Linked DNA regions of Coturnix japonica. The protein of the gene in region 3 interacts with the protein of the main gene of each other region in a pairwise test. Links are inferred from orthologs where the notes say so. Each region holds a gene or a part of one and is shown on either strand. Other genes may lie near its edges. The genes, in order: BTBD1, BTBD2 and TOP1.

What was found.
Region 1: the proteins of TOP1 (region 3) and BTBD1 interact in a two-hybrid assay, tested with the Homo sapiens proteins (2 studies listed by BioGRID). The link is inferred for Coturnix japonica from reciprocal best matches to the Homo sapiens genes TOP1 and BTBD1.
Region 2: the proteins of TOP1 (region 3) and BTBD2 interact in a two-hybrid assay, tested with the Homo sapiens proteins (2 studies listed by BioGRID). The link is inferred for Coturnix japonica from reciprocal best matches to the Homo sapiens genes TOP1 and BTBD2.

What each region holds. Positions count from the first base shown.
Region 1 is NC_029525.1:9,963,288-9,967,661, forward strand, and holds the start of BTBD1 (BTB/POZ domain-containing protein 1), read right to left. Parts: upstream 2,818-4,374; 5' UTR 2,738-2,817; coding exon 2,322-2,737; intron 1-2,321.
Region 2 is NC_029543.1:1,317,007-1,321,365, forward strand, and holds the start of BTBD2 (BTB/POZ domain-containing protein 2), read left to right. Parts: upstream 1-1,548; 5' UTR 1,549-1,559; coding exon 1,560-2,113; intron 2,114-4,359.
Region 3 is NC_029535.1:4,186,743-4,190,336, forward strand, and holds part of TOP1 (DNA topoisomerase 1), read left to right. Parts: intron 1-889; coding exon 890-1,033; intron 1,034-1,838; coding exon 1,839-2,024; intron 2,025-3,238; coding exon 3,239-3,307; intron 3,308-3,594. UniProt on the Homo sapiens protein: Releases the supercoiling and torsional tension of DNA introduced during the DNA replication and transcription by transiently cleaving and rejoining one strand of the DNA duplex.

The DNA.
Region 1 (4,374 bases), on a different chromosome or scaffold from region 3:
GAAAAGGGAGCAACTGCTGCAGCCAACTTAAAATAGTGAATAAATATGTCCACAAGAAAAACTGAAACACTGTCAAAATAGCTTGGCAAAGGTGTTCAAATTGTTCAGTTTTTAACTACTAGTAAATTATCTCCAACAGTTTTTGCATTACTTCATTACTTTAATGTTTCTTTTATCTTGATGTTCCCTGCCATGAATATACAAAGATCCAACTCAGTCCCAAGCAATTATACTTCAAAACGGTCTCTGCAAAGATTAAAGGAGTGCCCTACAAAAAGCACTCATCACTATTTGAGCAACTTCTTTATGACAGATACAAGGTCAGCAGTGGCCAACACCAAGGAAATAACAAACAGCTTGTCTTACAGTTGTTATACACTAAGAACAGTGTATAGGGGCACAGAAGTCCCGTACTAGTTTGTGTTAAAGAAGATCTCAAGTATGTTTCTAACAAGGTGTTACAATTTATATTTACTCCAATATTAGCTTGTTGCACATGTATCAAGGCCTGAGTCTAGAGAGGGAGCACTATAAAATACTTAAGTTCATTCAAAAAAGCTGCTAAGCATTCCATAGCAAAGACAACATCAAACCGGAGCCACCCCAGCAGTTGATCAGTCTGGTGATGTTTAGACACGATACAAGTATAATCAACGTACTTACAAAAGTCCCCTGGCCATTACCAGCCCTACAAACACAAGGTGGCTTTTGTTTGCTTCTAACAGCAACTCTACGCTCACTTCTACTTCTTAGCCTTACTCATAACTCTCCTGCTTCTGTGCTTCTGTATGCAGTCAAAACAAGCACCTCTCATTATAACTTCTCACTGTCTGGTGGCTTTTACACATACACACACATACATGTCACAGTGACTTACTTTTAACTACTGAAATCATTTCTGCTTGGAAGACAACTTCCCACTACTCAGCACCAGCCCCTCACCTTAAAGTCTGCCATTCCCTCTTTGCTAAGATAGCAGAAAATACAGTTTGTTTGCTAATAAGCAACGAACTCACCACACTGTGGCTTTCCTTAAAGCAAAACCAGTTGCTGCAAACCTTGTTTCCACAATTACTAAAGCACCGTGTTATTCTTCTCACAGTTCTCACCTCAAACCAAAAAGAAAGCTACTTTTTTTCTGCAGTACTAGAAGTTTAGAGACATTACACATTTCTTTCCAGGCAATAATAGTGCTTGATTTCTAAATGTTCATTACAGAAATCTGTTTAATGCATTTTATACAAGTTTTGCCTAGCAAAAAGATATCATTGAGCAGACGAGTTGTCTGACCACAGGTCAGCAATAAACCTGACGCACAGAGAAAGTATCAGGAATTGTCTCTGTGACCATTTACCACCACACTGGGTAAAACTAAAGTGCAGACAGGTTTGTAACAAACCCTTCTGTGGTCAAATCAGAAACCAGTACCCACTTTGCACACTTCCCCATCACCGCACTCCTGCTCTCACTTATGTGACTTGTGCATCACATCAGATAACTGTGTTCTGCTGCATGTTCTCTCCAGCCAAAGCTATCTGAAACGTGTGACTGCAAAAGGGATGGTAACTATTTGGTTATGATGGTAAACACAATTTGCTCTGCCTCTGAAAGATAAAAAGCTCATTGTAAGAGGAGTGATGGTCCTGCATGGAGCCAAGAGTGGGATGTGGTGATTGTCATTTGCGTTCCTTCCAACTTGGGATATTCTATGATTCTACGAGTAAACCTTCAAAGTAAACTATCAAATGAAACGAAAAGCTCAGTACAACAGCTTCAGTTCCTTCCTGGCGCCGTTGGGTGGACGGGCAGTGCCAACAGAGATTGCCGAGCCACTAAATCCCATCGTCTTGCAGAAAACACACAACCAAACAGCCCGACAGGGCAACACAGTATCACAGAATGACCCGGGTTGGAAGGGACCTCAAGGATCATGGAGTTCCAACCCCCCTGCCTGGCAGGGCCACCAAACATACACCTTTACTAGATCAGGTTGCCCAGGGCCCNGGACGGGGCATCCACAACCTCCCTGGGCAGCCTGTTCCAGGGCCTGACCACTCTCCTAGTGAAGAACTTCCCCCTAACATCCAACCTAAATCTTCCCTCTTTTAACTTAAAACCATTTCCCCGTGTCCTGCTATTGTCAGCCCTTTCCAAGACTTTACTCCCCGAGCGGCCGTCCCGGAACGAGGCCGCTGCAGTCGCGGCAGGGCGCGCAGGCCGTAGCAGCAGCAGGACGCAGCAGGACGCCGTGCCCTTGCCCCGGCCGAGCAGCGCACACTGCCGTCCCCACCCCCGCACCGCCCCCTCGCCCCGGGCCTGACCTGAGCAGCGCCAGGAAGGCGGCGGGCTCCACGTCGGGCAGCTCGATCTCGGCCGAAGTGGTGGCCATGCCGCCGTTAAACATCGCGTCGAACACGGCGCTGCCGGCCGCCAGCACGAAGCGGTGCGCGGGGATGCGCTGCTGGCCGGGTCCCGGAGGCGCCGCCCCGGCTCCGCCGCCTCGCGGGCCGCCCTTGCCCACCACGAAGTGCACGTCGCTCAGCAGCTCGTTGGAGAACAGGAAGGCGAAGCGCTCCCGCAGCGAGCCCTTGGTGGCCTGCCAGTTGTACAGCGGCTCCCGCTGCAGCACCGCGCCGCTCTCCGCGCCGGTGGGAGCGGTCGTGGTGGCTGAAGCGGCGGCGGCACCGGCAGCAGCGGGAGGCGCCTCCACGGGCGAACCGCCACCGGCCGCCGCCATCACCGCCCTGAGGGGCCGGGCCGGGCCTCACTCAACCGGCGGCACAGGCATCTCCGCCGCGCGAAGGGACGTCAGCAGCTCAATGCGCAGGCGCGCAATGACGCCATTCCGGCCCGATGGGCGCGGCCATGTTCGGCGCGGGGGAGGCCGGGAGTAGCGGGGGGTGTAATGGGACTAGAGAATGGGGCTGGGGATGGGATGTGGAGATGGGACTTGGTGCGTTGACAGGCTGAGGGAGTTGGGTTTGTTCAGCCTGGAGAAGAGAAGGTTGCGGGGTGACCTCACTGCAGCCTTTCAATACCTGAAGGGAACTTACTCCCAGGAGGGGAGTAAACTCTTAGAAAGGGCTGACAATAGCAGGACATGGGGAAATGGTTTTAAGTTAAAAGAGGGAAGATTTAGGTTGGATGTTAGGGGGAAGTTCTTCACTAGGAGAGTGGTTAGGCCCTGGAACAGGCTGCCCAGGGAGGTTGTGGATGCCCCGTCCTTGGAGGTGTTCAAGGCCAGGTTGGACGGGGCCCTGAGCAACCTGATCTAGTAAAGGTGTATGTTTGGTGGCCCTGCCAGGAAGGGGGTTGGAACTCCATGATCCTTGAGGTCCCTTCCAACCCGGGTCACTCTGTGATTCTGTGATTCTGCGTTAGTGACCGAATAACGCTGTGCTGTGAAGGCACGTGGGACGCAAATTGGTTATAATAATACCTAATGAACCGGCAAAACGAGCATGGACGCCTGTTCTACTTATTTCTGGAATAACATCAAAATATTGTTGCCGTTTGAGTATGTGTGCTGTGCCATTTATGTACAAAAGCAATCGGCTCGAAGGGATGTGTTTATTTCCATCACAGACTTATCACCCTCGGTCCAGCAGTGCTGTCCTTTGAGACATAAGCTGGATCCTTTCGCCATCTGCTGGAGCTTTGCTGTACATACAGCAGCAATGTACAGAGCTGGAGGTATCCGGCACAGCTCCTGACTTGTCAGCGTGTGGCTAAAAGAGGAATATAGTATGTCACCTCTCCGCGTTTAGGTTTATTATTAGGACAAAACTGAGACCAGGAAAATGCGGTGTGCTTCTCAGAACGAGTTTTAGGGAACCTTAGGCGAGATGGAAGCGATTGAAATGGGATAAAGGGCACGAGAAGACATAGTATACCGACCGTACAGCAGCGAGTAGCACAGGGGCTATATTTAAAAGTAAGGTCATACTGCTGACTTGGAAGAACGAAAGCAGCACCTTTGTGTTTTCCTTGCCCCAAGGTGGACAAGGAGCAGAAAGGAGGCAAAGCCCAGTTACCCTCCAATAGCTGAGGCTCTGAGAACCCTGGAAGCTGAGATGTTCTGCAGCTTGCTGCTTCGGTGCCATATAACATTCAGAGGAACCTGAAGCGACCAGCTTGAGAGCTCTTTGTAGGGGAGGAAAGTGCCAGCTTTTATGAAATTCAATGAATCAGTTGTCATGGGAACTGGGGAAAAAAAGCACGAGGGAAATGGTGACAATGTGGATGGGTGCATTACTGTCTGGGAGTCGTTTTGTTTCAGTCAAGGGATGACCTGGGCATTAATGAGTTCTCTTCGTTGTTATCTTTCTCCTGTCTTTCAATGATCGTTCACAGGTTGGTTTGTCAAATGGGAGC
Region 2 (4,359 bases), on a different chromosome or scaffold from region 3:
TGCTCCATGCAGTGTCCATACAGGGCCAAGCAGCAGCCTGCAGCTCCCTCTGATGTTTGCAGCTAAACACAAGGAGGACAGAGCGAAAAAACACAGCTTTGAGTGAAAAAACCAACGCTGAAATGCATGGAAAGCAGCTCCGCCAGCAAAAGGGGTGTAAGGCTGCGACGTGATGCAAGGAGAAGGTGTTTGTGTGTCCATGTTCAGTGCTCGGTTATCAGTCATAGCAGGAAGATTTCAGAGGTAAAGCAGCTTCCCTCTCGAGGCTGCCGTGCATTCCTGCATGCAGAAGGGTCAGTTAATGGCCGGCTCTGGGCACTAGCATAGCTGTGGGTAATGGGAGTTCCCCCCAATTAGGATAATGCAGCAGAAACCTGCCGGGTGTGCACTGCAGCAAAGCCGTCCATCCACACCGGTGTGTTGCAGCCACAGAGATCGATCCCATGAGGTCCCTCAGCTGTGCAGGGTTTCAAAGCTCCGACCCTATACCAGGTACAGCTCCGTGTGGCAGCAGAGGGGCAGGCAGTGCACTGCTGCAGTGGAGGGATGCACCAGCACTGTGTGTTTGCTTCCCACCCCTCCCCTATCTCCCCCTGTGCCCTCAAATCTGCCCCTTTCCCCTCACATCTGCCCCTCAGACCCCTCAGATCTGCCCCAGACCCCAGAACTGCCCCTCAGAGCCACTTATCTCCCTCACAACCTCCCATTCTCCCTTCACAACTGCCCACCCCTCCCCTATCTACCCCTTTCCCCTCACATCTACCCCTTTTATTCAAATCTGCCCCTTTTACCTCAATTCTGCCCCTCACACCCCTCACAACTGCCCACCCCCCCCTATCTGCCCCTATGCCCTCAAATCTGCCCCTTTTACCTCAAATCTACCCCTTTTACCTCAAATCTACCCCTCACACCCCTCACAACTGCCCACCCCTCCCCTATCTGCCCCTTTCCCCTCAAATCTACCCCTTTTACCTCAAATCTACCCTTTTCCCCTCAAATCTGCCCCTTTTACCTCAAATCTACCTCTTTTACCTCAAATCTGCCCCTCACACCCCTCACAACTGCCCACCCCTCCCCTATCTGCCCCTTTCCCCTCAAATCTACCCCTTTTACCTCAAATCTACCCCTTTTACCTCAAATCTACCCCTTTTACCTCAAATCTACCTCTTTTACCTCAAATCTGCCCCTCATACCCCTCACAACTGCCCACCCCTCCCCTATCTGCCCCTGTGCCCTCAAATCTACCCATTTTACCTCAAATCTACCCCTTTCACCTCAAATCTGCCCCTTTTACCTCAAATCTACCTCTTTTACCTCAAATCTACCCCTTTCCCCTCACATCTACCCCTTTTACCTCAAATCTGCCCCTTTTACCTCAAATCTACACCTATGCCCTCAAATCTACCTCTTTTACCTCAAATCTGCCCCTTTTACCTCACATCTGCCCCTTTCCCCCTCACATCTGCCCCCCCCTCCCCTCAGAACCGCCCCCTCCCCTCACTCCCCCGCCTTCGCCCCGCCCCTCCCCTCACCCCTTTCCCCCTCCTCCCTTCCCCTCCATGCCGCGGTGCTGCCCCGCTCTGTTCCTCTCCCCCCGTCCCACCGCCGCCCCCATCCCCTCCATCCCTTCCTCTATCTCCTTCTCCCCGTTCCATCCCGCCGCCGTGTCCCGCCCGCCTCTTGTGGTGCTGCTGCTCCTGCAGCGCCGCCCCGCGCCGAGCCGCGCTCCGCACAAGATGGCGGCCGGCGGGAGCGGCCCCGGGGGTCTGTCCTCATCCTGCCCTCAACCCCCACCGCCTCCCCCGGGGAACGGAGCGGCCTGTGCCGCCTCAGCCGCTTCCGAAGGAACCCCAGCATCTCCAACGGGACTCACCTATAACCAGTGCGGAGCCAACAACCCTACGGCGACGGCTGGAGGAGGAGGAGGAGGAGGCCTGGGAGTGGGGGCGGCCCCTCCGGGCGGAGGGCTGCAAAGAGAACCGGTGTATAATTGGCAGGCGACTAAACCGACGGTGCAGGAACGATTCGCTTTTCTCTTCAATAACGAGGTGCTGAGCGACGTGCATTTCCTGGTGGGGAAAGGCCGAGGGACGCAGCGCATCCCGGCACACAGGTGGGGAGAGCAGGCCTGAGGGGGGGGAGAGCCGTGGGGAGGCCTTAAAGGGGATGTATATCGGGGATATAGGGGGGTGGAGGCCTTAAAGGGGATTATAGGGATATACGGGGGTGAGCCCTTAAAGGGATGTATAGGGGATATAGGGGGTGGGAGGCCTTAAAGGGATGTATAGGGGATATAGGGGGGATATGGGGGGGTGGGAGGCCTTAAAGGGGATGTATAGGGGATATAGGGGGGTGGGAGGCCTTAAAGGGGATGTATAGGGGATAATAGGGGGGCATATGGCGGGGGCTGTGGAAGGCCCTTAAACCGGGGAATTGCTAATAAGGGGATAATAGGGGGTGGGAGGCCTTAAAGGGGATGTATAGGGGATATAAGGGGGTGGGAGGCCTTAAAGGGGATGTATAGGGGATATAGGGGGATATGGGGGGCTGTGTTTGGGTTGTGGAGGTGAGAGCCGAGTGTAGGCCCTGGGGGGTGCATAGAGGGAGTGGGGTGTGGAGAGAGCCGGGTTTAGGGTGTGTAGGTATAGGGAGAGCCGTGGGTAGGCCCTAAGGGGGATGTAGGGAGATGGGGAGGGCAATGGGATGGGTTTAGGTTGTGGAGGTGTAGGTGAGGTGGGGAGGGCCACATTTAGGGTCTGAAGGTGAGGGAAGAGCCATGTGTAGGGTATGATGGTGAGGGCAGGACTGTGGGTAGGTTATGGGATGATGAGGAGGGCCCTAAGGGGAGAGCTGTGTTTAGGGGCTGAAGGTAAAGGGAAGGACGTGGATTGCTGGGGGTGGAGAGGGGAGAGCCTGGTTTAGGTTGTGAAGGTGAGGGCCATGTGTAAGCCCTTGGGTTGGGGGCATAGAGGGGATGGGGAGGGCTGTGGGTGTGGGGAGTGGGATGTGGGGATATCCATGTTTGGGGTCTGGAGGTGAGGGGAGAGCCTTGAATAGGCCCTAGAGGAGGTATGGGGGGAACGGAGGGGAGAAATGGGGAAAGTCATGGTTAGAGTGTGAAGGTGAGGGGAGAGCTGTATGTAGGGCCCAGAATGGGGTGGGGGAGCGGGATGGGTTGGGATGTGGGAAGAGCCATGTATGGGGGCACTCAGCCCATAGATGAGAACAGCCCCAAAGTGAAACACTCCTTAATTGCTCTGTGATCCCTGGGCGGTGAAGGTAGAACAGAGCGTGCCATGCCATGACATCCCACACAGGGACTGCATAGAGCTTAATGACACACGTGTCGCTCTGTTCCTGTGTCAGGATGGGTATTTTGGGGTTTCCAGGATGGGTATTTTGGGGTTTCTCTGCAGCTGTGGGGTGGTTGTGGCTCTGCAGTGTTCTGTTGTTGGTGTTACCGTGGTGCTGTGGGCACAGAGCTGAGCTGGGTGCTCCTTAGCAAGGGGAAGGAGATGCCACATAGAGAGGGGTTTTCTTACCTCGTGTCCCTCTCGTGCTGTAAGGAAACTGAAAAATCTCTGATCTTGCAGAGTTTGGAGCACTGTTGTGTCTTTCCCATTTGGGTTCAGCAATGTGAAACAAACCGGACCGGCCTTTCCATGAGTGGAATGGGAGTAGAGATTGGAGAGCTTCTTTCATGCAAACACCCCTTTCAGATCACTCTGCTCTGTGTTGCCTATGAGAATGGCAAACTTAGAGTGCAATTAGTTGATGTTAATTGTTAGTAGGAAGTAGAGCCTGCAACTGTCTCACCATCGTCGCAGAATGTGCCTCTTGTGCTTTCCTTCCTGCCGTGCTTTGTCCCCAGCTCTCCTTCCCAACACAAGCAATGCTGCCTGGCACAGCACTGCACCCGTGGGAGCCTTGTGCATGGGGGACAGAGCAGCAAGGGACCAAGCAAGAAACTGGATGGAAACCGAGGAGGAATAAAAAAGCTGCTGTGTCACTTCCTACCGCAGTAAACTCCAACCAGAGCTCCCTGGTGGCAATGGACTTCCTGGGAGCCCGAGAGCCGGAGCGTTGTGCCTCGTGCCTTCCGTCACGTACCGCCTTCTACCTCTCTCCATCGAAGCGTGCACCCAGCTCTGCTGCACTGGGAGCTGCCGTGCTTCCCAGCTTCTTCCTTTCCATAATGGGTCAGGGAATTAGTTGGAGTCTTTGCTTCCCCACTGCTGGTGGCTGCTCAGTGCCTTGGCTTCAGGGAACAGCTGAGCACATCCACCAGGACCCAAGTGCTTCCCTGGGGAAGCCCAGCTCTGCCTTCCCAGCAGTTCTCAGAGGTGCTTGGCAGTGGTT
Region 3 (3,594 bases):
CTGGTTGTGTTTTCATGATAAAAATGTTGGCTAGGAGAGAAGTAAGAAGTACATTTATTTGTGTTCTCCCTTGGAAAAATAAATGGGAGAATGCAACTGCAGCAAATGAAATCTAAAAAATAGATCTTTTGAAAAGCTTTGTGCCATTCCTGATAGGAGCCCTTGCTTTTTATAAGCTGTAAAGGAAATAATTTAATCAAGAACAAACTTGCCCTGGTGGGTATTTTATCCTCTTTTGGCCCTAAGTCAATCCTAAAGTAAAAAACATGGCTGAGAAGATGACAATCTCATGACTGAAGGAAACAAACTGTGCTGTGGGAGCAAATAACTGGACAATGGATTAGTTCCATAAAAGCCTGTTGAAAGAAAAAAAGTCTTCGATTCAGGGGTTAGAATTTAAGTTCTTCTCATGAAATCATTTTTGTAAGGAATTTTTTTCCTGGATTGGAAAGATGCGTGTCCTACAAGTATGGAGGAAATCTTTGTTCCTTGTGAATTCATGCCCTCTTTTTGCCATGGCTTGAATGTATTATAATACTGATGAATGAGTGATATTGCCTTTACATTTGATGCATGCTTAATTACGCAGCTGAAAGTATGTGTTATCTGAGTAAAGCGGAGGAAGCCGTTTATATATTGAGAAGCATGGAAGACATAATGTCTCTGGTGTCTTTATAGTTGCTTCCGTACAAGCGTTTAATATCCTGGAAATCTGAATTGCTTACAGCTGCCTGGCAGCACAGTTTGGAGCTGAGCTGCTTTAGCAGTGAAATGTCAGTGTTTTTGTACAGTGAAACTATTCGCTCCTCATACTTGTAATGCCATGAGAAGCAGATTGGAATCGGTTCTCTGCCTGCTTTCTGATGCTGACTGTATTTCAATTTCTCAGGGTGAGAAGGACTGGCAAAAGTATGAGACAGCCCGGAGGTTGAAGAAGTGCGTAGATAAAATCCGAAATCAATACAGAGAAGATTGGAAATCCAAAGAGATGAAAGTACGGCAGAGAGCTGTGGCTCTGTACTTCATTGATAAAGTAAGTCTCGCCCCCAGCACACCGCTACCCCTCCTGCCCTGTTGGGGATACTCAGGACCGCTGTGTGTCTGTTCCTAAGGCAGAATTGTGCCCAGTTACTAAGGTATCCTGAGACTTCCTGGTGCTCAGGCCTCCATCTCCTTTTCCTTTCCCATTACCTTGAAATCAAGAGCAATGAACTATTGTACTGACCATGGTTATTTCAGGCAGCATTGTTTTAGCTCAGGCAAAATTCACAGCTGGGTCCCAGAATCTCTCCCAGTTGAATTACTGGGAGCTTTGCAGACCTTTTGTCTCCAGCTGTTTCAGTTTTTTCCTGCTGGGAATTTCTGCTACTTTGTCAACTCTTCAGCTGACCTCATAGTCATGAGGTTTCATAATTATGCTAAATTTCTCACCATAGCATAAAGAAAACTGAAGTGATATTGAATCACTTGGTGCTATTTAAAGCCTGCTCTCATAGAGCTGTTGCCTGCTACTACACGATATTTTGACCAGCCAAATTAACGGTTCCTGTTCAAAATAGTTTGATGCAAATCAGGGAACTTTTGTTTGAATAATTGTGTTTTCATAGGACTATTTAAGGTTTTTCTTAAACAATCAGAAATTGGATTAGCTGGGACAGCTAAAATACATTTTAATGCAGCCAATTGTAGCCTTTAACTTTAATAACCTAAAGTATCATATATGTTGTTTGAAGTTTGTTTCTTTAGCATGCAGGAAAAAGGTAGAAGATGTATAACCATCCTTTACTGGAATGGTTTGAAATGCTTCCCTCTCCTCTCTTGTCTTGTTATAAATGTAGCTTGCTCTGAGAGCTGGTAATGAAAAGGAAGAAGGTGAGACAGCTGACACCGTGGGCTGCTGCTCTCTCAGAGTAGAACATATCAAGCTGCATCCTGAGCTGGATGGCCAGGAATACGTGGTTGAGTTTGACTTCCTCGGAAAAGACTCCATCCGATACTACAACAAAGTCCCTGTTGAGAAGAGGGTAAGATATCTCCTCAAACATGAGCACAGACTGAAGCACAGGGAAATGTGCTCAGTGCACAGTCTTATTGGCAATAAAAGGGTGCTTTGTCCTTGGTCAGATACAGCGAGCCAGAAAACAAATCAATGAACGTTCTTCCCTTCTTACTGGTAGCACCTTTGTTTGGTACCTACCAGCCAAAACCTTCCTGGGCAGTGTTTCTTCCTTTATTTCTTTGTTCTCTACCAGTTTCACATCTGTTGTGATCTTGGCCTTATTCCAGAGTAAATCCCCATCCAGCAGTTTGAGCTGTCCAGAAAGACGCTGGTTTTGTAGATGTAATCAAACCTTGCATCTGGCCCACACCTCTGCAGTCAGCACAGTCTGTTGGATAACACACATACAGTACTAGATTAATTGTAATGACTAACTGCATTAAGTATTGACCTCTTGGCAAAAAAAAAAAGGGGGGGGGGAGAAAAATAACTACAAACTATGGCTGCTACAGAAATCAGCATATGCTAGAGTTCTTACTCCTTTGTTTAAAGAAGAGAACATTTTTCAGTTTAAATGTACTCATGTTGGTCTCCCTTCATGTCTCTTCTTCAGAAATTACAATAGGGAACTGATTATTGTGGAACTAGAAATCTCTCAGTATAAGGCATCTATAGAGGAAAAATGTGTGTTGATGAGAAGCTGGAAACTGGGGATTTGGAGTACACCGAGCTGGGATTAGTAGTCTCTGTATAATCAAAAAGGCTTCAATTATTTTCCCATCCCAATGAGACTTGTTTAAGATGGAATTGGATGAAGCATCTATTGCTGCAGTGCAAAGGGATGGGATGGGGTTTTGGTAGCTTTATTCTGTGGGAAATGTCTCAGAGTTCTCTCAGGCTGGAATAATTATTGAGAGAAAGGGGAGCAGGTGGTAGCATTGAGGTCTCCTCGGTTCGGCAACTAAGCAGAGCAGAATCAAGTCTCCTGCAATCTGGATCAAAAGGAAAAAGGACAAAGAGCATTAAATGCCCAGGACTCCTGTTGCTGGGGCAGAACTTTAAACACAAGCATTGTCTTAAGAGAATCATCTTTGCCTATTGGAAGTTGTGCCCAGCGTTGTCACTGTTGCCTGAGAACAGGTTAAATGGCATCTCAACAGTGTTACTTTCTCACATATTACTGCTGTCCAGCAATGTTCAGTCCTGATGCCTTAAGGTGTGGGTTTTCTTCTCTTACAGGTTTTTAAGAATCTTCAGCTGTTCATGGAGAACAAGCAGCCTGAGGATGACCTTTTTGACCGCCTCAATGTAAGCACATGGTTATCTGGGAGGGAATGGTGGTAGAGGACCATAAACAGGCTCACTCTGCACTAGGCAATAACAGCTGCTCTGCTCCAAAAATGGTTTCAGTGGCAGGTTGTCTGTTGCTTTTTTTTTCCCAGAGATGGCCTCAGAGACCTGAGGGAGAGTCTCAGTCTGTTGTCTGTATTGCTCACTTTGGCTGCAGGTTCCTGAAGTGATGGGCTTTTACAATGGAGAGCTTGGCTGGCTCTGACTTGGATAGGTTTTTTCACAGTTTGGAAAAGATGACTGTG